7 linked regions of the Rattus norvegicus genome follow. The protein of the gene in region 7 interacts with the protein of the main gene of each other region in a pairwise test. Links are inferred from orthologs where the notes say so. Each region holds a gene or a part of one and is shown on either strand. Other genes may lie near its edges. The genes, in order: Trim32, Snx10, Pbx3, Rab1a, Mief2, Lnx1 and Rabac1.

The links.
Region 1: the proteins of Rabac1 (region 7) and Trim32 interact in binary tests that used the Homo sapiens proteins (3 or more experiments, as listed by UniProt). The two-hybrid records come from large-scale screens. The link is inferred for Rattus norvegicus from reciprocal best matches to the Homo sapiens genes RABAC1 and TRIM32.
Region 2: the proteins of Rabac1 (region 7) and Snx10 interact in binary tests that used the Homo sapiens proteins (3 or more experiments, as listed by UniProt). The two-hybrid records come from large-scale screens. The link is inferred for Rattus norvegicus from reciprocal best matches to the Homo sapiens genes RABAC1 and SNX10.
Region 3: the proteins of Rabac1 (region 7) and Pbx3 interact in a two-hybrid assay, tested with the Homo sapiens proteins (2 studies listed by BioGRID). The two-hybrid records come from large-scale screens. The link is inferred for Rattus norvegicus from reciprocal best matches to the Homo sapiens genes RABAC1 and PBX3.
Region 4: the proteins of Rabac1 (region 7) and Rab1a interact in a two-hybrid assay, tested with the Homo sapiens proteins (2 studies listed by BioGRID and IntAct). The link is inferred for Rattus norvegicus from reciprocal best matches to the Homo sapiens genes RABAC1 and RAB1A.
Region 5: the proteins of Rabac1 (region 7) and Mief2 interact in binary tests that used the Homo sapiens proteins (3 or more experiments, as listed by UniProt). The two-hybrid records come from large-scale screens. The link is inferred for Rattus norvegicus from reciprocal best matches to the Homo sapiens genes RABAC1 and MIEF2.
Region 6: the proteins of Rabac1 (region 7) and Lnx1 interact in a two-hybrid assay, tested with the Homo sapiens proteins (2 studies listed by BioGRID and IntAct). The link is inferred for Rattus norvegicus from reciprocal best matches to the Homo sapiens genes RABAC1 and LNX1.

Annotation. Positions count from the first base shown.
Region 1 is NC_086023.1:84,019,339-84,023,431, reverse strand, and holds the start of Trim32 (E3 ubiquitin-protein ligase TRIM32), read right to left. Parts: upstream 2,801-4,093; 5' UTR 2,744-2,800; intron 1-2,743. UniProt on the Homo sapiens protein: E3 ubiquitin ligase that plays a role in various biological processes including neural stem cell differentiation, innate immunity, inflammatory resonse and autophagy.
Region 2 is NC_086022.1:81,942,084-81,946,122, reverse strand, and holds the start of Snx10 (sorting nexin-10), read right to left. Parts: upstream 2,801-4,039; 5' UTR 2,751-2,800; exon of another isoform or gene 2,747-2,750; intron 1-2,746. UniProt on the Homo sapiens protein: Probable phosphoinositide-binding protein involved in protein sorting and membrane trafficking in endosomes. Plays a role in cilium biogenesis through regulation of the transport and the localization of proteins to the cilium.
Region 3 is NC_086021.1:38,077,096-38,081,226, reverse strand, and holds the start of Pbx3 (pre-B-cell leukemia transcription factor 3), read left to right. Parts: upstream 1-1,331; 5' UTR 1,332-1,376; coding exon 1,377-1,576; intron 1,577-2,399; coding exon 2,400-2,473; intron 2,474-4,131. UniProt on the Homo sapiens protein: Transcriptional activator that binds the sequence 5'-ATCAATCAA-3'.
Region 4 is NC_086032.1:98,622,230-98,626,476, reverse strand, and holds the start of Rab1a (ras-related protein Rab-1A), read right to left. Parts: upstream 2,801-4,247; 5' UTR 2,624-2,800; coding exon 2,601-2,623; intron 1-2,600. UniProt on the Homo sapiens protein: The small GTPases Rab are key regulators of intracellular membrane trafficking, from the formation of transport vesicles to their fusion with membranes.
Region 5 is NC_086028.1:45,907,391-45,911,508, reverse strand, and holds the start of Mief2 (mitochondrial dynamics protein MID49), read right to left. Parts: upstream 2,801-4,118; 5' UTR 2,680-2,800; intron 947-2,679; 5' UTR 941-946; coding exon 794-940; intron 568-793; coding exon 405-567; intron 1-404. Other genes in the region: Flii (protein flightless-1 homolog), read left to right, coding at 4,040-4,102. UniProt on the Homo sapiens protein: Mitochondrial outer membrane protein involved in the regulation of mitochondrial organization.
Region 6 is NC_086032.1:33,938,071-33,941,570, forward strand, and holds part of Lnx1 (E3 ubiquitin-protein ligase LNX), read left to right. Parts: intron 1-2,002; coding exon 2,003-2,244; intron 2,245-2,783; coding exon 2,784-2,936; intron 2,937-3,500.
Region 7 is NC_086019.1:89,692,218-89,696,472, forward strand, and holds the start of Rabac1 (prenylated Rab acceptor protein 1), read right to left. Parts: upstream 2,801-4,255; 5' UTR 2,696-2,800; coding exon 2,640-2,695; intron 2,398-2,639; coding exon 2,185-2,397; intron 1,940-2,184; coding exon 1,842-1,939; intron 134-1,841; coding exon 32-133; intron 1-31. UniProt on the Homo sapiens protein: General Rab protein regulator required for vesicle formation from the Golgi complex. May control vesicle docking and fusion by mediating the action of Rab GTPases to the SNARE complexes.

The sequences.
Region 1 (4,093 bases), on a different chromosome or scaffold from region 7:
GCTTGCCAACTTGTGACTTCTGATTCACATGCCCACTTAGCCATAGGCTCTGAAGCCCAGGATATGTCATGCAACTTACCTATTAACTTCCCACCTTATGGAATCAAGAGCAACATTTACATTGTGAGCTTTATGGAGAGAATGTACACTAGTCAGCACTCAGTGGAGTTCACTCTGTTTATAGACAGAGGCTGACTAGTGCTTGACCACCAAACAAGCAGTAAAACACCTGATTCCAAGGCTAACTGAACCTGCTCCATCATGTGTTTCCAGAAGTGATCTGTGTGGATATCACAGTCAAGTGTTCTGCCCTCAGCTCCAGTCTGATTTTAACTAGGAAATTGCCTCCTGTAATGTAGCTAGGTTTGGAGTTGATAAAGACAATGCTACCTTTCTGTTCCTGAGACCAAAATACACAAAGGAGGGTATTCAGAGCAGTCTCCTTCAGTCTAGCACTGTCCTTGGGCCAGAGTCTTCTTATCTCAGCTTCGTAGCTCCAAACTCCTTGCACTATCTCCCCACTGGTTCTGGTCTAAGAGCAAAGCAAGAACAAAGTCCAGGGCTTCTGCTGATCAAGAAAAGTCACCCCACTTTTGAATATGGGGCAAGCCTCCTTTTCATTAGGAAAGTCTGAAAAGGGAGGACCAAGACGACTGCAGCAAAGAAGCAAGAGGGGAGATTCTGTGGTGGCAATTTACACGGCAGTTTACTTCTGCCAGTTTTGGTGATGTGGCTTTACACAAGTGATCTCCTAAGCCTTAGTTTCATGTGTCACACTGGACATAGAAAGTATATTTAGAAGGACTGCCATGAGAAGAAAGTACACATAGATCTTTGAGAGTAGTAAATTCTTAACACTTACTAGGCACTAGACAGTAAGTACCCCGATTTATTTCACTGAGTCCGTACAGCAATCCTAGGATGCAGGTCTCTGAAGAGCTTGTGCATTGAGAGGTCAAACTTGTGCATTGAGAGGTCAAATAAGTCTTAAGATTTCAAAGCAGGAAGAGAAAAAGCCAGGATTTGGACCCAGAATTCTTGACTCTCTTGCTAGGTCCCTCATTTGTGGCATGATTGGCATTTCTGGCTAGGTGACAGTTTATTGTGGGGGTTGTTCACTAGAAATCAGTAGACCCCCACAACCCCTCAATTATGACAACTGACAATGCCTCCATCCAGACATGGTCAAATGTTTCCTGGCAGAACAAAACCACCCTATCTGAGAACTATGGTTTTAGGTAATGATACAGTCTAAATACTCAGTACATGTGAGGCTCTCCCTTGCTCCAACCCTGTTTTGTTTCTCGCCCAATTCTAATACTTCATTCATAGAATCACTGCCTCTTTGTGCTATAATAGACCTTCTATAAAATGATGTCAGATCTAAGATAATTTTGGCTTATACCTTTGAGGGCTTAGGGGTACAGAGAAAGGGATAAGTAGCAAAGCCCCTAGGTAGTTTATTGTTCTTCCCCAAGGCCTATAATGTTGAGTCTGTGGTGGGGAAGTTGGGGTGGTCAGAGTGGATTTAGTGAGAATACCTGTCTGCCTCAGGATTAAAGGGCCTTTAGTTAGCAAGTGAGGAAGACTCTGCCCTTCAGAGAATGTCAAACTCTCCTTCAGGATTTCTGAAGACCAGTGTCTTTATTTCCAAACCCCTACATTCTCCTAAATTCCATTCATTCATGCATAGTTTATTTATAAATTACTTTCAGGTCCCTGGGTCTTCAGAACACCCTCTGGGTTCAATTATGCAGAAATCAAGAAACAAAACAAACAAACAAACAAACACCTCCTTTAGTGGTCTCAGAAATTTCACCTGGTTTTGAATTGTACAATCTAGTTACAACATTCACTCCCCACCATTCAATCCTTTACAAACCCCATTCTCAACAATAAATCCCAAATCTAGAATTCAACCTCTTAGACTGTGTATGTTGCAACCCTGCAACTCACCAATAGCTCTTATGTGTCCCACATCCCTCTGGTACATCCTTTCATCTATTTTCAAACTCCCTACATCCTTTCATCTATTTTCAAACTTCCACTCCTATCACCCACGTATGGCAGCTCCAAACTCCAATCCTGTACCTTAGACTCTGCCTCCTTCAACCTTTTCCCTCATCTGCATTCCCCATCTTGTACTGTGCCACCTCCAACCTCCCCACCCCCGCCCCCGTCCTGCCTCACGTGTTGCCTTCAAACCTTTGCTGCGATTTGCTAACTGGGTACTGATTCCCTTGGGAACTCACCCCTCAATCTTTCCCAGATTCCGCTACAGAAATCCCTTTCTCTTCAGCATTTAGGATCTTCCAAGACTCTGGCTGTTTTGATCTCGGATCTTGCTACCATTACACCGATCTCCTCAAAGCCCTTAAGATTCTGCCCGCCAACACCCAATCTCATCCAGGCCTGCCAAATTCCTTTCTGCTTCTGATAGTATGCACCCAGATACCTCCAGGCACTTCAGGTCCTCGCATCTTACACATGCTGCACCCCGTCTCTCCGCATGGCCCCCACATTACCTCATACCTCTCTCCCGACATGCTGCAACTGCAAATTTCCTCAGCCCCTTTGCTCCCCTCCCCCAGCTGCATCTCAGCCCCGCCGAATCGCTCCTGAGCCCGTCCCTCCCCAACCCGGTCCTGCCACTCAGATCCAGTCCCCAAATTCTGCCATTCAATCTTGGAGCCCCGCGACCCACCACAGTCCCTGATCGCAGACCCTCCTTCCCGCCCCCTACCTGACCGCCCGCGGCTCCGACGCGAGTCCACCGCTGCCAGCCCACCCGCCCGCTGCCTCCTGCGCATGCGCTAGCGCGTACATCCCACGGCAATAGCCAATTTGTAGAATCGCCTGTCTGTCAACTTGCCCCGCCTCCCGAGGCATGCTGGGGCTTGTAGGCCCACGGCCCAGCGCCTGCGGCCCAGCTAAATGGGTAGGGATGGCTTCAGAAACCTAGGCCATTGCAGCGTGTGATCCAGCTTTCTGCGCTATTTCAGAGTCTAAACAGGGTTAGTCAATGCTAATCCCTCAGTAGTAGTCTCCAGAAAGTTCTGGCACCTTACAGAGAGACGCCTCTTTTAATCTTATGTAGGGAAGACGAGCACACTCCCTTCAAAGAGCAGCAGGTCCCCAGGCTAGGTCTTTCTGCCTGTGACACATCCCATAGTGGAGTCACAGAATACACAGCACTTAGGAAAGAGGTTTTCTTTGCCTCACAGCATGGAGGCGGATAGCAAAGGGAGAAAACAAGGAAAAGCCTGCATTCAGTCTTATCAGATGGTCAGTTCTGTGGCCCAGTGACTGGTCAGGTCCTGATGGGGACTGGTAATACCTGCTCTTGAACCTGATGAACACACAGTACTAGTTGGGAATATGAAGGAATCTGAAATACTAGGCTCTCATATTTGAAATTCCACCAAGCTGAGTACCCTCTGCACTGATGATAAGACAACAAACAAAACCAGTAATATCTTTAAACACTTGCCTACAAACTACAGACTTTGGGTAAAGAAACTGAGACCTAGGGGTCAAAGACCAAAGTAACCAGTTTCTACCTGCCAGAACCTGGATTTAATTTCTGAGAAGCATTCTTAACCTTGTTTTATTTTTCCGTTTCTTTATCTCGAAATAAAATTATGGGTTGTTTTGATGAATTACTAGAACTCAGAAAGATGGGAAAAGCAAATTTACCCCCCCCCCATCCCCAACTTGTCCAAGGTTCTATATCCACAGGACATCAGTTTAGATGGAACTCTGAACCAGGCTAGTCATTCTCCAACTGGACTCTCTTCTGGGCGATGCAGGAGTTCTCACACAATTTTACCCTGAGTACAGTGTTGTTATCTCAGATAATTCTAGAGCCCTGAGCCAATCCAGCCACCCAGAACTCCCAAGACCTGCTCAGAGAACATGTGACTCGAAGTTCTCTGAAGAAATTTTATCTGTGCTGGCAATCCTATGGACTGACCAAATGCCTAGAACTTCAAATGTGAAAGGATAGAAACCTGGTATACACACTTAATCAAGTTTATCTTGAGCTATCTTTAGTTCTCTGAATGGGCACTTATTACCAACCTTTGACTCTGAC
Region 2 (4,039 bases), on a different chromosome or scaffold from region 7:
CAAAACTTATTAAAAGTGCAGGGTCTGGGGTTGGAGAGATGGCTCAGCAGTTAAGAGCATGGACTGCTCTTCCAGAGAGGTCCTGAGTTCAATTCCCAGCAACCACACGGTGGCTCACAACCATCTGTAAAGAGTTCTGATGCCCTCTTCTGGTGTATCTGAAGACAGCTACAGTGTACTTATATATAATAAATGAATAAATAAATCTTAAAAAAAAAAAGTGCAGGGTCTGACATACATGAGTCCTAAATCATTTTATACCTTTATTAGAAACCTGCAACACATTTGCTTGCTGATTAAATAATAAAATTGGCTTTATAATTTGTCATGATTTAGTGAGGCTATCACATAAAGCTCTACTTAGTCATTCTGGGGATCCAATCCAGGTCTTCACCTATACTAGCCAAGTGCTCTACCATGGACCTACACTCAGTCCAACCGCCCCTCTTGCCTTTTCCTCATTTTTTGAGAAAGGGTTTCTCTGAGAAGCCCTGGCTTTCCTGAGCTAGCTTTACACAACCCCACTGACCTCGAACTCATAGGCCCTCCTGCCTCTGAGTGCTGGGATTAAAATCCTGTGTCATCATTGCCTGGCTAGAACCCCCCCCCACCTTGGAATCATGGGGTGGCGGCACAGGCCTGTGATCCCAGCACTTGGAAAGTAGGTTCAAAACCTCTGCTACACACTGTGCAGCCCTGAGCCACATGAGAAGCTCCTCAAAAGGAATTACATTAGTAACAATAATGGTGTCAGTATGGTGGCTCATACTGTAACCCCAGCCCTTGAGAGTTCAAGGCCATCCTCAACTACAGATTATAATAGTTCATGTCTGTAACAGAAGCACTTAAGGGGATCAGAAGCTCAAGACCATCCTCTCTCCCACACTGCAAGTTAGAGACCAGTCTGGATAACATGAGATACTGTCTCAGCCTTTAATCTCAGCACTTGCGAAGCAAAGGCAAGGAGATCTCTTAGTTCGAGGTCAGCCTGATCTACATACATATTGAGTTCCAGGACACTTTTGTCATTTTTGAGATAAGGGTGACCTCAAACCCCTGACCCTCTTGCTGCCACCTCCCAAGTGTCCAGATTACAGACATGCACTACCATGCCTGACCTGCCAGCGATAACTTAAGTAGCAAATGAAGGCACCAAGATTTCAACTCAGAAGGGTCTGAAACCAGAAGTGGTGGCTAACGCATAGTCATGTATGGCTGGAGCACCGCATAGAGAGCTTACATGTTAACTCATACCTATCACGTTACTTAAAAATAAAAAGCCCTTTGGTGATAACAGCCCTAAAATCTAGGGAATTCTCCACTTGGCCATCATCACTTCAGCCAAGGCCTTCTGTTATAGGCTGGACCCTATCCTCAGGCAGTTCTCCCCCTTTCTCAAGTGGTTGTTACATCAAAGCCCTGATACCGAAAGAGGAAAAAGAAACTAGTTCCCCAATGCCTTAACTCAAAATGAAAGTAGTGCCATGCCTGGGCTGAAAAAGGAGAGAGAGAGATCAAGAAAGAATGCTTTAAAGTAGAGGAGAACTGTGTGGTAAAGGAGACACTTAGCACATAGAAAGAATGATGGTGCTCATTTCAAGACACCAATCTCGGAAGGTCTTGCTACAAGTGAAATAAAGGAAGTGGGTAACACGGCCAAAAGGCTGCAACCCCACCCCATTACCACCACGGGCACACCTCCTTGAGGGAGGCCCGTTTCTGTGACTAAGAATGTGCTGGCAGAACCGGAGATGGATGGTCTGGTTAACTAGAAGCTGCTAATGAGGTCTTGAGCATCTCCACATAGTCACTTCTAAATATATCTACATTTATATCGCTATTCGAAACAGTCTGTCAGTCAATCTCAATTCTACCACTCCTTTAAAAATAAACGGGGGCTAGGGTGCAGCTCAGTGGTAAAATGCTTGCTAATAATACGCTCAAGATCATGGGCTCCATTCCCAGGATCAGAAGGGAGGAAGACACGGTGAGTGAGACCGGAATGACTGTCCCTTGCCTTAGGGACAGGAATCAAGCGAAGTCATGCAGACTCCTCAAGCTCACTTAAGGTATTGTTGCCAGGACACTTAACCTTCTCGGCCTCCGCCTCCGTCACCTCCTCCTCCTCCAGAAAGCCCCTCATGGATTGGCCAGTGGTTGAAGGAATCCCCTAATGCCCCCAGCCCCCTTCCGGCCACTCCCACAAGCCCACTCCCAGGACAAGAGGGATTTTCATACACCCCTCCCACCCGGTGCGTGCTGCTCCACCCTCTCAGACCTTGATTTCCCCTGTCGCAAACTAAAAGGGCTGATGGAGATCGCGTAAATTGAGATCTCCGTGGAGCTCTCCACGCGCCCGTGCTTTGCGGAAACAGACATCCGGTGACCATCCCTTAACAATCCTTGTAATTTTAGCAAAGTGTGATGTGTCCAAAACCGATAAACAGGCTGTTGCTTCCCTATGTCAGCAAATCCGATCATCAGCATGGGTTTCCTCCGCGGCCTTTTCCATCAATCCCACAATCCCATGAAGAAGAAGAGGAGAAGAAAAGAAAAAAAAAAAAAATCCTTCCTGGCCCTCCCAGCCTCTAAACTCAAAGGTGCCTGGCCTTGTATTCAGAAAGAAGCAGGGCTTGGGAGGGAGACCGGCTCGTGCCAGCATCTCCGGCGCCCCAAGCCCGGCTGAGCAGGTGCCAGGGCAGGCGCAGCGCCCGCCACCCGACTCCCTCCCCTAGGTTCGGCTTACTCACGCGCGGTCCTGGACGGCTGGGTCCGGCCCGGAGCCCGGCGGAGTTTGCTGACTCAAGGCGCGGCGGCGACGAGCGCCCAAGAGCGCACCCGAGGAGCGCAGCCCCGCTTCCAGCGCACGCAGCGCCCCGCCCCGCCCTGCGCGCCCGCCGCCGCCCCCCACCCCCACCGCCACTGCCAGCCTCTTATGGGAACGTGGGAAAGGCCACCTAGCTAGCGGGTCTTTCTCCCTACCGGGCTGTGAGGAATCAAGATGAGGGAGGTCTATAACAGACAAGCATAACTACAGTTAACGGCGGGATCTCGATGGAGGGCATGTGACTTTGCTATCATAATATTTTTAGTATCTCTGTAACTTAAAAAAAAAACCTGTATTTTCATGAACGATGAGAAGAAAGCTATGAGATCTGCCAAAGATATGTCCGGTTCCTAAAGATCATTTGGGATGGATCTCACCCACCTGTGTGCATGGGAAACCTCAGTGGTGCAGACTGGGAAGATGGCTCAGTGTTAAGAGCACTCTTTGCCCTTACAAAGGACCTGGCTCCCACCCATACCGCAGCTCACAACAGACTTTAACTCCAGTTAACCGCTCTCTTCTGCCCAGGCACCCATGTGGTGCACATATACACAAGCAGCCAAGACACTCATAAAATAAAATAAATAAATCTAAGAACAAAAAAAGGAAAACTCAGCGATGAAAGTGAATCCTTTGACTCTGGGACCATCCAGGATCCTCCTAGAAAAGTTGTCCGGGTCTGTATTCCATAGCTACCCTGACGTTCTAAACAAAACTTATGAAAATGCAATGTCTTATCTTGGACTCGTATCTCTGAGTCCTGAATTATTTAATGGCCTAAAATTGCACACAAACTATAATACATGCAACTATCGGTTTTTGTTTGTTTATTTTGTTTTTTGTTTTTGTATACTTTCAAGTCCTTGTCTGAGTGAGTGAAATTCATTTCCTGGAAAACAAAGTACCACATATCTAAGATTCTGAGTGCCTGCTAAGTCCGAACTAATTTAGAATGTGACTTCTGACCTTTGTGTTTGCTGGAGCTCATTATGCAGACAAGGCTGGCCTGGAACACACTGCAATCACTCTTCTTGTCTACCAAGTACCGGGATTACAAGTACAGATGATCTTCCCAACACATCAGAGTCTGACCTCACAACTCTGGGCAGAGCCCCAACTGACCTTTCCAGTGTCTAGTGTTAGGGTTGTAGCCCAGAAAAAGGAAAACTATGAAAATAATTCAAAAAAGAAAGAAGCTACAGTGTCAGGCAC
Region 3 (4,131 bases), on a different chromosome or scaffold from region 7:
GGCAAGGCTTTTAGACCCTCTTTCCCGGTCTCAGCCCAGGACTTTCGAACGCTCCAATTGGGACAACCCTTTCTTGGCTCTGTCCCGCCTCATTCGGCGCTGAGCGTAATGCGATTGGCCCTGGACTTGCGGCCTTGTGCCCAGAGGGTACCACCTCTTGACAGGAAGAGTGGGAAAGTAGACCAGGCACTGTCCGAGGCGTGAAGCTCATCTCATGCAACGGGGGACCACGCCGTTGGCTACGGGGAGACTTTATCCGGTCCTATACAACACCCCCTAAGTCCCCAACTGCTAACAATAGGAAACGTGCAGGGGCCGGGGGCAACACTTTGCTGGCTGGGCTGTCCATCTGTGGAGCGCGGGCGCCGGTAGCCATAAGGCTCCCGGGCGGGCTCTCAGGCGCCCCACAGTAGAGGCCAGAGGGGACGGGCCGAGTTCTGGGGGACGGGGCCAGTGGCGGCGGCGGGAGGCGCAAAGCCCAATGAGAGAAGACTCCGCCCCAGGAGGCGGGGCATCCGGGGCGCTCCCCCGCCCTTCAGATCTCCCCGCCCCTCCCCCCGCGGGCGCCGGGGCCGCAGTGAGTGAGTGGCACTGGCAGCCTGTCAATCCCTCAGCCGAGCGGCCTTCGAGCCCGGTCCACGGCGGCTGCTGACTGGGTGCGCGGCACCGGAGGTGGCGGCGGCGAGTTCTCCCGCCTCATCAATCTGCTGTCCGCCCGGCGTGCGGCCCGCCGGGGCCCTCCACCGGGCTCCGTGTCCCTGCCGCGCCGGCCCGCCCGCTCCCAAACTTTCCTCCTCCGCCCCTCTCTCTCCCCGCGGCCCGCCCGTCGGCCTCCATCTCCTCCTCCTCCTCCTCTGCCGCCGCCCGCCGCCGCCGCCGCTCCCTCCCCCGGGGCCGCCGGTGCTCGGATCCCGCCCGGTTGAGGCGGCGGCGGCGGCGGCGGCGGCAGGCGGCTGAGGGAGGGGACCGTTCTGGCTGGCGCGGGCGGCGGCGGTCGCGGCGTCCCGGCAACTCGGCTGGCGCTGAGGACCAAGTTGTGCGGGGCCGCCCGGCGCGGCGCGGGGCGCTGAGGAGGCAGCGCGGCGGCCGCGTGAGGGCAGCGGGCACCACCGCCAGCGCCTCCGCCGGCGAGAGCTCCGCTTCCGCCCGCCGCTGTCCTCAGTCTCCGCCGCGGCGGAAGCCGGAGCCGGACGCCGGTCCGCGTCCCCTCAGTCGCGGGCCGCGCCGGGCCAGGCCGCCCCCTCCCGCGCGGGCGGGGAGCGCGCGGCCGCCTCCCCCTCCCCCTCCCCCTCTTTCTTCTCCTCCCTCGCCGCCGCCGCCGCCGCCTCAGCCTTCGCCTCCGCCGCCGCCGCCCGCTCCCGCCCGCGCGCGGCGGGATGGACGATCAATCCAGGATGCTGCAGACTCTGGCCGGGGTGAACCTGGCCGGCCACTCGGTCCAAGGGGGTATGGCTCTGCCGCCTCCCCCTCACGGCCACGAAGGGGCGGACGGCGACGGCAGGAAGCAGGACATCGGCGACATCCTCCACCAGATCATGACCATCACCGACCAGAGCTTGGACGAGGCGCAAGCAAAGTTGGTGTCGTCTCATTAAGCATCTTTTGTGTGTGTACGGGAGCCGGGCTCGGGTCCCGGGTGGTTCCCGGGACCGGGGCCTCAGTCTCGGGCGGGAACTTTCTCCGCCCGCCGGGCACTTGCCGAGTCCTCCATCGCGCGGGCAAAGTTGCTCGCCGGGTTCGGGACAAACTCGATCAGTGCTTCGTCCGTGCCCCGCTGCCCGGCCCCCTCCCCGGATTTAAACATCCCGCCCGGGCCCCGGTGCGCTCCGCGTCCCTGCCGGGTCCCGGACCGCACCGCCGGGAAGTGCAACTTTCTCCGCCCGCCCAGACTCCGGGCATCCACTCCCCTCGGCCCAGTCCGGGGTGACCGGCTGCTTTCCCCCACGTCCCTGTGCGGGAGCGCCAAGTTCTCTAGGAGGGAGGGCCGCTTGGCAAACTTTGCGGAGCTGTCACCCGCTGATTATCAGCCGCCGGCCGGCCGCTGCGCCCGCTGCTCCTGTGGAGCTTGGGCGTTGGGGTCCCCTCCGCGTCGGTCTGGTCCCTTGGGTCACCGCCGCGCTCCCCGGAGCGGAGCCTTATGAGCGGGTCACTCCTGCGTCTGCCGAGGCTTCTGTCGGCCCAGCAGATGGGTCACGCTGCTATCGGGCTGAAGCTCTCGCCGCTAGAGCTTGCAGCCAGTTGCGAACTAGTCAACTTGAGTTTTGTTGACTTCCCGTGGTTCAAAAGAGCTTTCCCAAATAGGGGGCCGGTTTTAAATCTTGGGTCTAACTTAAAGGAAGGCGCCATATTATTCCAATAGGTGATGCTAATACCTTTGTGTTTTGCTGTTTGTTTTTTAGGAAACATGCTCTGAACTGTCACAGAATGAAACCGGCGCTCTTCAGCGTCTTGTGTGAGATCAAAGAGAAAACAGGTAAGACTCTGCTGCCCACAGTGGGCTCGGAGACCCCCGAGGTGGGGTCAGATCTACTCCTTCGACTCTCCAGTTGAGAGCTGCTGCTTTTGGGCACCGCCATCTTTGATCATTCTTTGCTTCCCACCTCCTGATCTTGAGAAAAAACTGCAATAAATCTGGAGTCTATTTCTCAATTCTGCTTTGGTACAAAATGAAGTGTATATGAGAATGGAGCTGGGTCGCAGTTCCCTAGGAAGTAGTCCCTGGCTTCAGACGGGGAGGGGGCTCTAGCTAGCCGCCCTCTCCTATCTCTTTTTGCCTTGTGTAGCAGTTTTTAAACGGAGCAGTGGGAGACTGGATGCCAGGGACCAGTTCCCCTGGAGAGGCATCACCAGAACTTTGTTTTACTGAGACAGTTTTGAGCTTCGGTTCTACTGAAGGCACAACCGAACACGCCTCAGTAGCACCTTGGACTTAGTGCTTTAGATGGGAAGATTTTTAGGAATCCAGGAAGGAAGATCATGTGCTTAGGCATGTGCAATGTATCACGCCTATTAGTACTTATATTACAGTCTGTCTTACAACTGCTACACTTGTAAAACTGAGCTTCAGTGTGTGGAGAAAGATGTCCACAGATGCTGACGAAACCTTCTGAAGTTCAGGGCAGGAGCAGCATAGGTTTTGCAGAAGTGCTAGAATGAAAATTGCTGATACATATTAGGGAAATTTTTTTGACAGTTCCTTATAGTTTAACTTTCTTGTCAGACTTTTTTTATTTAAGGTAAATTTACTCTTGACTTAAGGGTAAAGCTAAAGTATATTCATGTATATGTGTATTTATACACATATATATCTCACATGTTTTAGTTTGTTTAGTTATCTTTCCTGTATGTGGTAAAAACAAAGCTCCATTGATCAAGCTTTACCACTGATCGATTGATTTATTTGTTGTATGTGTTGGGTTGTATTGCTTTTTATAGTTGCCTTTTGTAAATTGAGGCAAAGAAGAAAAAAAAAATCAAGCTCAGTGTATTGCATTTTCCAGCTAATGCTGTTTTAATGTTTCAAGGTTTGGCTGTCTTTGAATTGATTTTACAAATAATAATAATTGCCTAGGACTGTTAGGCAGGAAGTCAAGTCATACTCTTTTTATAAAAAACAGGTACTATCTATAGTCCTAAAAGTAAGTCAGAGGAGATGGTGGTTTATTAGCCTCTCTTGATGTATATATGCTAAACCATAATTGCTAGTAAATATTGAGAGCTGAAAGAAGTAACTTTATTTGCTTCTCATTCGTAAGCCATGATTTTTTTTTTTAATGATAGGTTTTTGTTTTTCTTTCTTTTCTTCTCTTTGGCGACACACTTTACATTCTGAATACCAAAGTCATTTTAAATTACTGACTTGTTACATGTTGATTTTTAGAAACCTTGAGTACCTTATGATTTAAGATGGCAGATGATTTTACTCTAAGTATAAAGACACCCGGCATTGAATCTTGAAGGCTTTTAATCTGGGTGAATGAAAGTATATAACTCTTAGAACATTTATGTTGCTTAATTTCCAAGGGTTTCCTTCCTATCAGGGCTGTACTCCAGTTTGTGCTGACAGCTAAGCACTGGAGTATTGACTGTGCTGTGAATATTAAGATTGATTCAATTTTATATGGCACTATA
Region 4 (4,247 bases), on a different chromosome or scaffold from region 7:
TGGAACTCATAAAGGTGGCAGATGGCTTCCTCTGCTGAACTACCTTACATGTCTCTTCTAGAACAGTCTTCCAAAACCCAACAGCCAACCAGAACAAGTGACTCTGCCCTAAAGTCACACTGTCCTGACCCATGCTGCACATCTGCATGCTCTATCTCCTAGTATCTGACATGTATAGAACCTATTTTGTATGTTATGTTATGTTACAGGCCCCTTGAGGTTAAGGTTTACACTCCTAAGTCCTAGCTTGCTTTAAAATGATTTATACTGTTTACAACATGATCTGGATAGCTGTCCTTTTTACATACTCATGGACACACTACTACCTTAATAGGTAGTAAAAATGACTGTCTCTTGTACTACTTTATAAAAAGAGAAATAGTCTAAGTAACATCTAACTTTGGTCATTTATAGTTAAATCTCTTACAGTATTTAAAAATATAAGAATGCGGTACATAAAATAAATAAATAAATCTTTTTAAAAGATACATATAACAAGGGCTGGAGAGATCGCTTAGTAGTGAAGAATATTTCTCTTCTTGGAGAAAACTCTAACTCCATTCCCAGCACCCACATCAGCTGGTCACAAGTACTCTAACTCCAGTGCCAGGGGATGTCTCTAACCCAGCAGTCCTCAACCTGTGAGTGGCAACTCCTTTGATGGGGGTCAAAGGACCCTTTCACAGGAGTCACATACCAGATATCCTGCGTTATCAGATATTTACATTATGATTCATAACGATAGCAATATTACCGTTATGAAATAGACATGAAAATGCCATGGGTAGGGGTCACCCCAACATGAATTGTATTGAAGGGTCATAGCATTAGGAAATTTGAGAAGAATAAAAATATTTAAATACATATGTAACAAATATAGGAATCTTCTCAAATAGAAATTAGAAACCTTCCTAACAAATCCATGTTCTTCTCTGTTTCCCTAAAATCTAACTAGGAATCCCAATAACTTTTCATGACATGTCATGGAACCTCATTCCCTAAACTGATTTTGTGCTGGGAGAGGGGCTGCCACCACAGTAAGTGTGTCACCATATGAACTGTTCCCAACTTCTTAAAGAAATACAAAAGCCTGGGTCAACCACAGAGCTCTGTGGATAAAGTGCTTATCTGAGTTCAGTTCCCTGAAGCCACCCACAAAGGGAGAAAGAACAAGCTCCCAAAATCTGTCCCGACCTCTGCCGCAAACAAAGTGGCACCTGTGCACCTGCAATCACATGTGTCACAATAAAAATAAAGTATGTAAAGTTCTACCAAGATACCAAGACTTCTGCTTAACCCAAATGAAAAAGCACATTTCAGTATTAAACCAGCCTTAGAAAACTTGAACTTAGAATGTCTTTTGCAAGAGCCATGTGACACACACATGACAAGTCAGCTGAGCTGATGGATGGACCTTTCCTGGGGACACACTTAGCGGGGACTGACCAAAGCAACAAATAAGCCCAGGTTTTAGGGCAGTATTGATTTCTCTTATTAAAAAAAAAAAACAAAACAAACAAACAAAAAAATCCCTCTCCCTTAAAGATTTCTGACACTAAAGTATAATAAAAATGACATCTCTTCGAGTTATTTTCATATATGGAAGCCAGAGGAGAATTTTAGGGTCAAAGAGAGAGCCCAACAATATCTATCCAAGAAAAGACAAGAGCAGTTCCCATGAAGGTGCCAGGTGTGTCACATCTGCTAGAGTGACTTCTTGAGTAAGCAAGAAAAAGGAATGCATTAACTTTTCATGACACGTCATGGAACCTCATTCCCTATCTACAGGCATTCAACCAGGTAATCTAAAACCTACAGTTCTATCATCAAAGGCCCCATTAGTTTCTTTTCAAAATTGTCTGCAAACTTGTACTTTAATTTGGTGGTGCCAGGAAGACGTTTCTAGTTTATTTTTAGTTCAGTTTTGTTGATGTTGTTAACCTACCGGAAACAAAAGGTGACTGAGAGACTCATGTGTCCCCCTAAAACAAAAATTTCACAAATGTTCAGGATTTTAGAAGGGTCACATCTCACAATTCTTACACAACTCTTCCAGGAGACAAGCCCTAAAGGAAACTAAACATTGTAAATAGCTTCTCGCCATCTCCTCATTCCCCTCAAGCCCACGCAGTCCCAAGAAGCATCCATATTACCAGAAATCCAACCGTGAGAGAGCTCTAACAAGCTCAGGATTTACAAGTAAAGCTGGTTTCCTCCCTGTCGACGCTGACAGCTCCGCAGAGCCGGCGCAGGGTCTGACAGTGCCCTCTAGCAGAACTCTCCCACCTACCTCCCCTTAAAAACAAGTCCTCCTCCAGCCGTCACTGCCTCCAGGGACGCGCCCTTCCTGGCCGCTGTCCGAGGCCCACTCCCCAACGCCCGGCCGCGGCACCTAGCTCCCCGCCGGCTGCGCCCCGGACCCGGCCCGGAGGCCCGACCCCTCCCCGCTGCGGCCCTCGGCCATCAGACAATGGGGCCCTCGGGCTGCTCCGTCTCGTTCGCCTGGTCGACCTTCCGAGTGCTGCGCAGCGAGCCTCCAGGCGGCCCTCACCCCAGCTGGACGCCCTCACCCCGGCCCGCCCCGGCTCTCCTGCACTCACTATTCGGGATTCATGCTGGACATGTCACTGCAGCTGCCGCCGCCGCCACCGCCCTTGCTGACGCAGCCGCCGCCCCAAGCCTCCGCGCCACGGGTAAAGGAAGGGGAGGAATGAGCTAAGCTGTTCCGGTAGAGCAAACGTCGACCCCACTCCGACCCTTAGAACACAATCAGCAGCCGCCGCCACTCAGTGATCGCTTCCACCCAAAATGGCCGCCGGCGAACCAGGAACTGGGGAAGCCTAGGCCAAGGGGCCTGTCGCGGCCCAGAGGGCGGCAGCGTCGCGGGGCACGCTGGGAAAGAGAGTCGTGAGCACTCCGCGCGCTGGGCAGCCTGACGAGGCCGAGGGCAGCCTGCACTCGGCTTCCCACTAGGCCCCACGTCCTCTACGCATGCGCCCTTGCGAGCTTGTCGCCCGCCCCGTCCCGATTCCCTCACCCCCACACCCCGCCCTTCCTGCTCCCCTCCCCGCTGGCCTGCTGGCTAGGACTTCGCTCGGACTCCCCCTAGCGGATTGGCTAAGGTCGAGCGGACTGTGTTGATGTCATCAGTGAGACGTGGCAGCAGGGCGAGTCAGTGCCCCACGGGGAGGGGGAGGAGGAAGGAACCGGGCGGAGGGAGGTGCCGCAGCCGAGGGGGAGGGGGCTCCCAGGAACGCTGGGACGCGAATGAGGCGGGGTGGGGACAACTTGACGAGTTCTGCTCTGGCAAGAACGCAGTGGCCAACCCCATCAGAGTCTGGGGCTGCTCTAAGGACAAAAGGAAAGTCAGGTGGCCTGTGTAGCCTTGGGCTTTCACACTCACCCGACTCCTTTTCTGATTTTTTTTTTTTGTTTTTACCGTTTTACTCTAGCAACTTGATGTTGAAATAGCTGCAAATGGACCCTGCTCCAGTCTCTCTTCTGCCCCCGTCCATTTGCACACGCAATCAGATTTACCTGTCTGAAACTGCTCCTCCATCTAGACCTCCCAACCTTTGAAGGCTCTGCATTGTGCTTTTGAGACTCAGGCTAAAATGAACCTTAACCTAGTCTTTCTACTTGAGGCCTTAAAGTTGAATTGGTTTTTGGGGTTGGGTTGGTTTGTTAAGTTTTGGGGGTTGTTTGTTTGTTTTGCTGTTGGTGCTGCTGCTGTTTGTTTTTTATTAGTTAAATTCTGTGTCCGTCTGTAACATTGGGTAATAATAAGTGTCTTTTTAAGCCAGGAAACTCATTCTGGACTCCAGAACTAATATTAATACATTTTTCAGACCTTAACTTTAATCAGCTCAGGAATTTAAATCTCCACTAAACTTTAACACATTATCTTGGGTTATTTATTCCAAAGGGCATAATATAATACACTGTCCAAAGTTTATCTTCCAACTTGTTCTAAGCAAGAATATTATCTCCAACTGCGGATTTACTTTTAATTTCTGAATTTCAGTGACACAAAAATAAGCAAAAGAGGCTGTTCTCATCTCTAACCATATACTCAGTATATTTTACACATCCCTCTGGACTTCCTCCATGTGACTTGACAGCCTCATCAGACCATACATAGATAGGTTTTGGGGGTTTTGGTTTTTTTTGTTATCGTTGTGGTTTTTGGTATTTTGAGACAGGGTTTCTCTGTGTAGCCCTGGCTGTCCTGGAACTCCCTCTATAGA
Region 5 (4,118 bases), on a different chromosome or scaffold from region 7:
CAAGCAGGTCATGGGACAGTGAGGGCATGATGACAAAGTCATTGGCCCAGAGTCCCAACACTGTGGCTTCTACAACTGCAACAACTTCACGGAGAATGGGTCAGAGAGATCCTGCCCCTCTCCAGGCCTCAGTTTCCCCATCTTTGGCTCCCTACCATCACATGGTGCAACCTTGCTATAGTAGAGAGCAGACAGGCAAAAACAAGGATCCCAGGGCTGAGGTTTGCGTTTGCTTAGCACATGTGAGGCACTGGGTTCTATCCAGAAAAACACAAACCTACAGTACCTATTAAACATCTGAGTTGCCCACAACCCAAAGAGGAACAGAAATATGTGAAGACTGCAGCTTCCGCATGGGCGTGCACAGGGGACTCCCCACACTAGAAGGAGGCAGTGCAGCTCACCTGGGGCAGAGGGGGAGGGGGACACAGGAGATTTGGGCTGGCTGAAGGCAGCAGGAGAGGGCTGGGGCTTGGGGTGTGAAGTGGCTCTCAGCAGGCTCAGTTCCTTCCAGCTGTCCCCCTTGGTGTCATCCTCATCACGAGGGTTAGTTGCCCTGTCGATGAGCTACAGGCAAAGTGACACAGATCAGAGCATGGGGGGGGGGGGGGTGCGGGGTTGCACGGCAAAGCTGGGGGCGGCGGGGAGGGGGAGTAAAGCAAACCAGGAAGCTAGGGTGAAAAAGTAGGGGCTCTGAGCTCCAGTCCGACTTCCAAAAGTCCCACCATCCCCCAGCTCCCCCGTCCTGGCCTTCTCCTGTGGAGGTTTCAGGCAGGCCTCACCATGGCCTTACCCGCTTTACGGCCAGGGTGGCAATGCCCAGCACTGCAGCCCCGCCCACACCTAGCACCAAACGAGCGTTAGCCAAGAGGAAGTCCACCACACTGCCCAGGCCCTCGCCACCATGCTGCTTCCTCTGCTTCTGTGAGAACTCTGCCATGGTCACCTGCAAGAGAAGCAATTCGTAGGGCCAGCGTGCATAGGTGCTTAGCAATAACCAAGAGGGCGGTTTCTAAGGACCCGAGAGAAAGGGGCTGCGCAAAGAGTTTCTTGGAGGGAAGCAGGGGACCTACCAGCCCCTCCCTGGAACCTGCAAGCTTCCAAGCCTTGGAAAAGGGCTGATATAGGAAGGCTCCAGGCCTTTGTCCTGACTTCACCCCGAGATGCTGGGAACCTGGGCTCGTCATCACCACCCTTACTCTACAAAGACATGAGTTGCCAGGCCACAAACTGAGTGGTAAGGTCTGGGACTCACAGCACAGCCTCTAGACTCTTCCACCCCCCAGCCTGAGTATTATCCCTATGCCTCCTGACCAGGTTCTCATACTCCTCATCAGGACCCACCCAGAACAGCCACACTGTGTGACAACCTGTCAGGAGGAACCCAAAGCCCCAGAAAGACTTGCAATATGGGTTTCCAGGAAGCCTGCCTGGGTGAGGCCTGTCAGACCTTTGATAGACCCTTAGCAAATTCAGGGATCTAGTTACTGGCCCCCCAGATCTTGACAGGAAAACTACTTGGGGTAGGGCAACCCCATCAGAGACCAGGCTGAGGGCCCCATAGTCCAGTGGTGAGTAAGGTAACCCTAAATAAACACTGAATCAGGACAGGCTGCCCAGGGCCCATGGACTTGAACAGAGTTGGCGAGGGTAAGAATGTGAGAGAAAGACCTGGAGCCAAGGACTTTCTTTTGTTTATCTATATGACTGCACCAGTGAGTTAGATTGGGAAGTGTGCGACTGGCCGGGTCAGGAACTCGAGAAAGACACAGGAATCTCTAGGCCTGGTCCACTAAGCCAGAAAGGTCATTGCCTGATGGGGCACCAAGGACTTCAGCCCTTCCTTCAGGGCCATGGCTGCCCTGGGACCTAGTTGCCAAGTGACAAGATGCCTAGAGTAGTTGAAGCCTGAAGCACTGTGTGACTCAGCTGAGACACCTGTCCACGGCTCCCGAACTAAAAATAAGACCCTGTCCTGTCCTAGGGCCTGGCAAGATCAAAGGCCAGCCAGGGGACCTACTACAAGCTCGAAACCTATCGCTGCCCTCAGACCAGTGAGCCACTCTGCAAACAGGGGACTTAGCTTACATTCCACCGCCTGCGTAACGTGGGACTCAGTCCTACACCTGGAGGGGTCTTGTATTCAAACTCTGGTAAGAAGGGAATAAAAGAGGTGGCTAAATAAAGCCAACTCAGGCCCTTGTGGTGGCGCAGGCCTTTCATTTTAGCATTCAGGAGGCAGAGGTGGTCAGGTCTCCTTGAGTTCAAGGCAAGCCTGGTCTACACACTGAGTTCGAGGACAGCCAGAGCTACATAATAGATCCGCTTCTCAAAATAAAACAAAATAACAAAATAACCTGCCTCTTCACAGCCTGGATGTCACCTGTTCTTCCATTTCTGCCAAAGCTGACTGCCCTGGATCAGGGTTGAACAGAAACGTGTAACCACATACAAAAGGCTCTTAGACTCTATTCAAGAACGAAGTCACTGAGACCCTGGAAATCCTGTGCAATACCCAAGTTGGGAAGAGGCACCCCTGGGATTCGAACTCGGATATTTAGTTCCCAAGTCCTCCCTCCCACCGCAGTGTTGACCACAGGCCACGCCCCCACCTGCACTGGGATACAAGCCACGCCCAATACTAGGAGACCCCGGCCGCCCCCTGCGCTGTAGCTGTACCTGCGTCCGAGCGTCAGCGCATGGACCCAAGGACGCGGCGAGCAGGACCCTGGAGGCCCAGGAGGACCCGCTTAGGAATGGAGCGTCCAGACCCCGGGAACCGAACGCCGAGGCCCGGGGCGGCAAATGACCCGAAAGGAACGCTGGATAAGCAGGCCTTCGCTCCAATCGGAGCGCACAACTCCTGCGCACACGTGCTCAAAACTGAGCAGCTCAGCCAATGAACACCAGGCACGCCCTGGACCTGGGGGCGGAAACCACAGACACTCCGGATTTAAAGGCGCAAGGTTACCTTGTAAACCCAAGGTGCGGGGGAAGTAGTGAGTGAATGACAATCGTCCAGGGCCTGCTCTAGTTTTACTTTGGGGGTGTTTTGTTGAAGAAGGGCCTCACACTAAAGCCATGACTGACATCGAATTCTCTGCAGTCGTGCCTTAGCCTCACATCTGACCTTGTGTGTACTTGTAGTGGGAGCCTCAGTGTGGAGAAAGCTGTCTGAGCTCACGGTCCCTTGATGGACCAGGCAGACAAAACTGCACCTAGCCCAAAGGCCCACATTCTGTCTTTCAAGTTTGCCCCTGCTAGAGTGACTGGTGGTCTCATTTCCTTTTGGCCCGCTTGGCACACACCGGGAAAAGAGCTCTGTTACCTGTTGTGCGAACTCTACCAGTCTCTTCCCTTCTGAAACACTGGGTGCCAGTCCCTGTACATCCATAGAACAGCTGTGTCTGTTTATTGGAAACCTACGATGTGCAGGCCAGGGCAAGATGGCCACTAACAGCTTAGCTGACGAGATATGCTGGTCTTCTAGAGCATGAAACAAGCCTATAAAGAGCACTGGCTAGAATCCTGAGGCCAAGGGAGAATTTTGAGGGTTTGTGCATCCTGCTCTCTGACACTCCTGAGTACTCACTTGGTTCTGACAATTTTGGGAAGCATGTTACACACGAGCAAAGTTGAGTCCAAAGATGAAGAGCTAGGCCCAAAGACCCGGAAGTCTCACCACCACCACGGGTCCCTCACGCAGAGACTGCCTGTGTCCCTGACGTTGGTACCGAAATCTCTCCGGGATCACGGCCAGCTCAGGGTCTACAGCAGCCCAAGCAACAATGCCTGGACCCGACCCTCCACGTTGCGACTGGAGACTGGAAGTGGTGATCGTCTCCAGCAGGACCCCCGCAGGCCTCTCCAGTCCCACAACTCGAGGCCTGAAGCTCTGGGAGTCGCCTAGCAGCACTTCCCGCAGAGGCCGCGGCCGGGAGGAGGCGCGCGCGGGTTAAAGGGGCGGGGCCGGCGCTGACCCAGCCCGCGGCTCCCGGCTACCCTGCGTCTTCCTAGCCCATAGGAGAGCTACGCCACCATGGAGGCCACCGGGGTGCTGCCGTTCGTGCGCGGCGTGGACCTCAGCGGCAACGACTTCAAGGTTAGATGGGGGGAAG
Region 6 (3,500 bases), on a different chromosome or scaffold from region 7:
CAAAAGTACAAGCTGTGGCTTGTACAGGCCTGTCCATCTTCTAGAAAATGAGGGTGTAAAGTTGTGTAATCACAGGCCCTTTCTACTGAGAGGAGCGCCACATTTCATCCCATTTAGGATACTACAGATTCTTAGAAGAGTTGTATTGTGTTTGCTGACAAGGAAAGGGAATCTTTACCTGTGCCTCCAGTTAAATTACCCCAAACGCCATTAAACATGGCTAGGTTGCTCACACCAGACGCTCGTGGCTTCAAAATGCGCTTAGGTGAACCTGGCAACTCCCTCTGGCCTGGGTTGAATTGCTCAGTGTGAAACAAGCGACCCTTTTCCATGAAAAGTACAGCATTGCCTTTCGTCCCCTTGGGTGTGTCTTTTTAATGAAAGAAAACATTTTTTCGTTATATCATTTCTAGACTGTGTATATGTATGTGTCTCTGAGTGTGGGGTCTGTGTGTGGGGGTGTAGGGGGGTTACAAGAGGAATGTTCATGAAAGCCAGAGGAGTCAGATCCCTTTGGAGCTTGAGCTTCAGCGAAGTGGCCTGTGCAAGAACAGTATGTGCTCTTAACCAGTGAGCCATCTCTCCAACCCTTGGGGCATTTAGGGGCCAGAGAGAGAGAGAGCTCAGCAGTTAAGAGCACTGGGTGTTCTTCTAGATGACCTGGGTTCTCTTTCGAGCACCCACATGCAAGCTCGGAACTGTCTATAACTCCAGTTTTTGGGGATCTGATGCCCTTTTCTGGCCTCTGCCAACACCAGGCATGTAAATAGTTCACACACACACACACACACACACACACACTGAGTGTAAAAAGGAAAAATAAATAAATAGAAAATAAAGACATCAGTCACGCATGGCAGTTGGTCCTCAACCTTCCTAACGTTGCGACCCTTTAATACAGTTCCTCATGATGCAGTGACCCTCCCAACCCTAAATTATTTTTATTGCTAGTTCATAACTGTAATTTTGCTACTGTTATGAATCAAAATGTAAACATCTGTGTTTACTGATGGTCTGAGGCAACCCTCATGAAAATGTCATTCAGAATAACATGACCAGCACACCTATGTTAGGCCAATGGACATTCAAAGGAGTCCGTTAGAATGATTTCTGTTGGAACAGAGGCTGTACCATTTGATACCCTCTCCAGCAGTACAGTGGGTTAGTTAAAGCATCACCAGTTTCTGATCCAAACCTTTGTCAACAAACTGAAACGATTGGCCCAGTGGCAAGGAAACACATTCGGGAAAAGAAGGATCCAGAATGGCTCAAACGCCAGTTTTCGAAGCTCTGGACATTCTTCCCTGTCCCTAATGTACAGACGATGTTTGAGTTTGAGGGAAATGCAGTGAGTAAAATGGATGGAAACAAGAAAATGAACAGGAAGGTTTCTGTTGTCAGTAAGAAAAAAAATCAGATATTTTTCTCCCCCAGTGCTATGAGATGTGACATTTCCCCATGTGTGAGAGTCCCTGGCCCTGATTCCTCTGAAGAGCATGCAAGGCACTACCAGACCAACCTAGCAACAGGAATGGGAGCCATCACTCCCACCGCCTAGAGGAGAGCAGTTCCCAGTAAAGCTTGTGGCTTTGTGGCTGTGTGACTCTGTTTCCATGGGCAGCTAAATACAGGATCTGGGAGTGGCCGCTTGTATTTATGTCCAATGCTGTTGGATCTAACCCAAAAGAAAGGGGTGAGAGTGTGATTAGGGGTTTTCGTAGTCAAAATAAACAGCAGTAAGAAGCAGTCACCAAGTCCAAATGTAAGAGATCCCATCCTCAACTCCACTCAGGTAGATTTGACTTCCTACTGCTCAACAGTGGAGATTATGCTAGGAAAATGTAATAGGAAATTTTTAAAATTACTTCACAAGTCATTAATGCATTTGGCTGGCAAGCAAATATTGAATTCTTATGTGTGAAAAGGGAGGGGTGTACAGGGACAAGCATATGTATTGGGGAAGTCGTTAAACATTCTAAGTGCCCCTCTGTCTTTGTTCCAGCTGCAAAGGGGCCTCCCACTATGGCCTGACCAAAGACAGGAAAAGACGCTCACAAGATGGCTGCCCTGATGGTTGCGCCAGCCTCACGGCAACGACGCTCTCCCCAGAGGTTTCTGCTGCTGCCACCATCTCTTTAATGACAGACGAGCCTGGCCTAGACAATCCTGCCTACACGTCCTCAGTGGAGGATGGTGAACCGGTAACCAACCCCTCAGACACTGGCCGGAGCAACCGAACCAGGGGTGAGTCAAATGGGAGGGTGTCTGGGAATTGGACACTTGGTTTTCCCTGGGATTGCCCTCTGTAAATACTCGTGGTGGAAAGTTCTAGAAATGTTTTTTAAAGGGCAAATGGGTTCTGGTAGTTTTGGCAGCCACTCAATGTCCAGTTCTCCAAGGGGAAATGAAACTGTAATCGACCGTGTGATATGACTGCTCTCGAAGTGACTCTCACCCAAAGGAGGAAAGCAGATTTCTTAAATAAGTGAGATACATTATTTCACTACATAAAACATTGAGAAATACAGATAAATAAACTGTTATCATTAAGCGATCACTGTCTTAATATCCTGTCATCCTGTTCGTGTGTTTTATACCTGAAAGGTTTCCTTCTCGCTTGTTTTGAAGCAACACCGCGCTCTGCACCAGGGCTGGCTCTGGCCTCCTGAGCTTCCTGGCTAACCTCCTGAGTGCTGAGATCACCGGCACAGAGCAACACGCTTGGCTAAAGGAAAGCTGCTGTGGGCCTGTGATCTCACCTCCATTGATCTCTCTTTCCTCAGCACGGCCCTTTGAGCGCTCCACTATGAGAAGCCGCTCTTTCAAAAAGATCAACCGAGCCCTGAGTGCTCTCCGAAGGACGAAGAGTGGAAGTGCTGTTGCCAACCACGCTGACCAGGGCAGGGACAACTCTGAGAACGACACTGTCCCCGAAGGTAAACGAAATCTCCACCCCACCCCAAGGCGAGCTGTAAGCTGGTTTTCCAGAGTCATTGAGGGATGATGGCAGTCTGCCCGACTCCCATTCTCTGTGACCTCTGTCTTTCCAAGGATATATAGCCGTGAGTAGCCTCCTCACCTGAGTAAGGACAGGGACTTTTCTTTGTCATCTTTTACACAGGTGAGGAAAAATTCATCTGTTGCTGGGCTCCAGGTGCTGGCTTACGCCCATGAAAATAATGATTATAGTTAGAGAGTGAAAAGCATTTTATTTCGTTCTCACCACATGGCACCATGCACAGGCTCTCCGTTGAAACAGAAAAGTCATAGACCTGCAAGTTCTACATAAACTGATAGCAAGTTAGTTCCTTTGTTTTGTTTCTCTATGCTAATTTGTTTATAGTGTGTGGGTAGAGGTGTCTGTGCACACCCACACACATGTGTGCTCACATGTCATAGTGCATGTGACTCACGTGACTGTCGAAGGACAACTTGTAATGGTGGGTTTCCCCCCTCTGCCATGAGGGTCCTAGGACTGGTCAGGTCATCGAGCGTCTTGA
Region 7 (4,255 bases):
CAGCCTCTCCCTACACAGACCCTGTACTCACCCAGGACCCAGAAGACAGCGGAGCCAGCACCGGCCAGCCAGAAGAAAGGGAAAGAGACACCACCAGCCAGGGCGTACTGATGTGCTGGGCTCACCTCACGGCCTGGGGACAGATGGTGTAAGACAGCCAGCCGTTCCCAGAGGTAACCAGAGCCACTTTGCACCCATCTAGTGTGACTCTGGAACCTTCCATGTAATAATACAGACTCCTCACATCAGGGCCTCCCACCCCTGGCCCTACCCCACCTCCCCAAAGTGACCTGTCCCCATAACGACCTTCCTCAGCTCCGCCCCTGCTCCACCTTCCCCAGGAGCCCCAGGCCACCTCAGTCTAGGGCCTGATGTTCCAGTCTGGTTACCAGGTGGCTCCGAGCCAAATCTGACCTGAGCATTTTTGTCCTTTTTTTTTTTTTTTTTTTTTTTTTTACTTTTTAAAGATTTATTATTTTGAACTATGTGTATATGCCCTGCGTGGGCATATGTACACGAGAGTTCAGGTGCCCGAGGAGGTGGCTATGGTGCACCCACCTGACTTGGGCGCTAGGAACCAAACCCACATCCTTTGCAAGAACAGTATTCAATTCTAACCACTGGGCCATCTCTCTAGACACTTAGTCTGATTATTATTTTTTTTTAAAGATTCTGAAGCCCAGGCTTATTTTGAACTTGGAGCAATTCTCCTGCTTCAGCTTCACAAGTGCTGGAATTCCAGGCACAGGCCAGCTTCTGTTTTGGGGATGTGTTCTCTGATGAGCTTCACAAGAATTTGGTTTGTGAGGGTTGGAGAAGGTGACCCAGCAGTTAAAAGCACTTGTCTTCCAGAGGGGCTCCTGCATTACACATTTTTTTTTCTTTTTTTCGGAGCTGGGGACCGAACCCAGGGCCTTGTGCTTGCTAGGCAAGTGCTCTACCACTGAGCTAAATCCCCAGCCCACACATTTTTTAAGGCTAGGACATGCTGGCCCTCTTCTTCAACCCTAGTACTCTGGACACAGAGGTGGGGGGAATCTGTGAATTGGAGGCCAGCCTAGTGAGTTCCTGGGAGACGACATAATTGGAACGAGACGCATTCCCTGCTCTCAATATATATAGAATATATATGCTTCCCCTCCCACCCCCCCACCCCCTGGCCAGGCTCTCCTATGCCTGAGAAACGTGTGCACCCTAGTGACCACTATCTGCAGAAGCCAAGTTCCAGTATTCCTTTGCCACAGCCCATCTTTGTCTGGTACTTAAACTTGCTGGGTCACGAAAGACTTGGTTTTTTTTTTTTTTTTTTGGTTCTTTTTTTTCGGAGCTGGGGACTGAACCCAGGGCCTTGCGCTTCCTAGGCAAGCGCTCTACCACTGAGCTAAATCCCCAACCCCCGAAAGACTTGTTTTAAGTCTCCTTGGAAACCCTTGGATTTCTCCTCAGAGAGTCTTCCTTGACACCTTTCTTCCCAGTGGGGCCTTTCCCCTCTGAGAATCCGAAGGTTTGGGAAGGAACACGGATCTAAGCCTGCATAAGGTCGCCATCTGGTGTCCAGTATGGGTATCTGCAGCTGATGTTTTACGTCGGGGTTTGGGAGGAACTGGATTAAGTCATTTACCTGAGACAGAGGTGCCAGGGGCTTTGGGGTCTCTCTGGGTTTGAGAAGCTGAGACTGGAGGGGAGCACCTGGTAGGTCTAAGCCCTTAAGGACCAGGTTAAATGACTCTAGTGTGCATCTCGGTAGGGGCCGACTTGAGTCCCAAATATTCGGAGGTTTGCATTCCGTGAGACCACGATCAGAAAGGCTTGGGAAGCCATTTGGGCAGGGGATTTCTCACCAAAGAGCACAAGCTTAGACTGCAACGTGCGCAGATAGAGAATGTAACAGGCGCCAAAGAAGACAGCCAGAGCCACCAGCAGCATGGGGGATGTCACCCTGGAAGAGTGTGGGAGACAGGAGTTAGGTATCCGAGGCTGCATCAGCCAGGTCCCTGTAGCTTTGGACAAACAGAAGTTACGTCCTTCTAGGTCAGCGAAGGTCACACTGCACCCTGGTCAAGTGGATGCAAGAGTACAGACTGACCAGGTCTTGTGGTGACAAAGGTGCTAACTGGTCTGGGCGGGGCCTGGCAGCCGGGGGCGGGGCCGGACTATCGAGGGCGGGGCCGCGGAGGCACTCACACGCAGTACAGGATGAGGCCCAGAAACACAAACACGTAGTTGCTTTGATAATACTCCACGTTGCGAACCAGGCGCTGGCAAAGCTCGCCTACGTTGCGGGGTCGCGAGAAACGTTGCTGGTCCACGAAGGTGCCCCAGGGCCGGATGGTAGCACGGCGCCGCTCCAGCCACTCTCGACCTGCGCCAGAGGGAATCAGCTTGGGTAGCAGGGTCCTAAAGGACGGGGCAGAGAAGATGAAGGCAGGAATAGGGTACCGGACCCCAGATTCTAGCATACATGGTCCCAAGGTTGACCTTGAACCCTGGGGGGGGGAAGGGTCCTAGGAGGAAGGTAACACAACTGAGTCCCTCCCAGGGGGTGAGGGGCTGAGATGTCTCTGAAGGGGAGAGATCTATGCTTGCGGGGGCAGGGACTTCTGCGTCTCGGATCTGGGGGTAACACCCTGCTTGCTCACGTGGCGCTCAGCCCTTCCACTTCGGCATCCTTCTGCTGGTCCTTCTGGGCCGCCATGTCTGCGCTGCAGTGAATAGAACCGCTGTAAATATCCCCGAGCCCAGCAGCACCTAGGCGGCCCCACCCGAGCCGGACTCAATGGAAGTGGCGCCGCTGGGAGCTCTAGGGGGCGGTAGTTGTGCCTCGGAGCATTGTGGGTGTTGTAGTCCTCGTGGCGTCAAGAGGCAGGTTTGCCTCGCAAGACATCTTGGGAGATGTATGCTAAGAGCTCGGGAGCCACTAGGCATTGTGGGAATTGTAGTTTCAAGAGGCGCAGAGTGGAATACAGCAGGTGGGCTGTCAGGACAGAGGATTTGATAGGAGTTGGAATAGCAAAAACAGGCGAAAACAGGCGATCTACATGCTTCCGTGGACCATGCAGAGCTGTCGTTCTGACTCCAGAAAGCTGATTCTGTTTGGGCAAGCCTGGGAAAGAGTTCATTTACCTTTTCTTTCCTTAAAAGAAAAGTACTGGGGCTGGAGGGATGGCTCAGTGGTTAAGAGCACCGATTGCTCTTCCTGAATTCAAATGCCAGCAACCACATGGTGGCTCACAGCCATCTGTAATGAGATCTGATGCCCTCTTCTGGTGTGCCTGAAGCAAGCTACAGTGTACTCATATACAATAAATAAAAAATCTTTAAAAAAAATCTTAAAAAAAAAAAAGGAAAAGTACTTACTTTGGAAGTGGGGCTGGAGAGAGCTTACTTGTTTCTCTTTCAAAGGATCATAGCTTGGTTCCCAGCACCCACACCCAGTGGTTCACAACTGCCTGTAACCCCAGCTCTAGCGGATCAGATATACTCATGTGTACATGTCCACACTCAGATACACATTATTTAAAAATAAGTGTTTCGGGGGCTGGAGAGATGGCTCAGTGGTTAAAAGCACTGACTGCTCTTCCAGAGGTCCTGAGTTCAAATCCCAGCAACCACATGGTGGCTCACAACCATCTGTAATGGGATCCAATGCCCTCTTCTGGTGTGTCTGAAGACAGCTACAGTGTACTCATATACTAAATATCAAAATAAGTGTTTTTATTTTAAAAGAAAAGATTTACTTTTATATGTTTATGTGTGTGCGCCACCAGAACAGGTTTTAGATCTCCTGGAACTGGTGTTACAGGGCAATCATGAGCAGTTGGGGTTCCAGTCTGGGCCACTCAGCAGGAAATTGTGTTTGGGTTTCCCACTTGAGGTCCAGCATTGCTTCAGAAGGTCAGTGGACGACCATATAGTGTACAGTTAGCCTAAAGACTAATGAGGGACACCACAAGGCCAGCCTTGGGAACCATTTGGTGGCAAAGGTCAGCTGGGTTTGACAGTTGTGGAAATCATTTCAGTTTCTTTTTGAGGACTACGCAAAAGTCTTTCTATTTCATAACTCTCAAGTCTCTGCTCCTCAAACACAGCAAAGATGGAGAGCAGCCATGTGGGAGGCAGGGTTTCCGGAGAAGGCAGAGGTATGTTGCAGAAAGTGGCAAGCTAATTGGGAGAATGCAGGAGCCTTGAATACAGGGGATTTTACGTTTGGTGTCTGGGGCAATTGGGAAAGGAGTCCTTTGGGACAGTGGAAGCC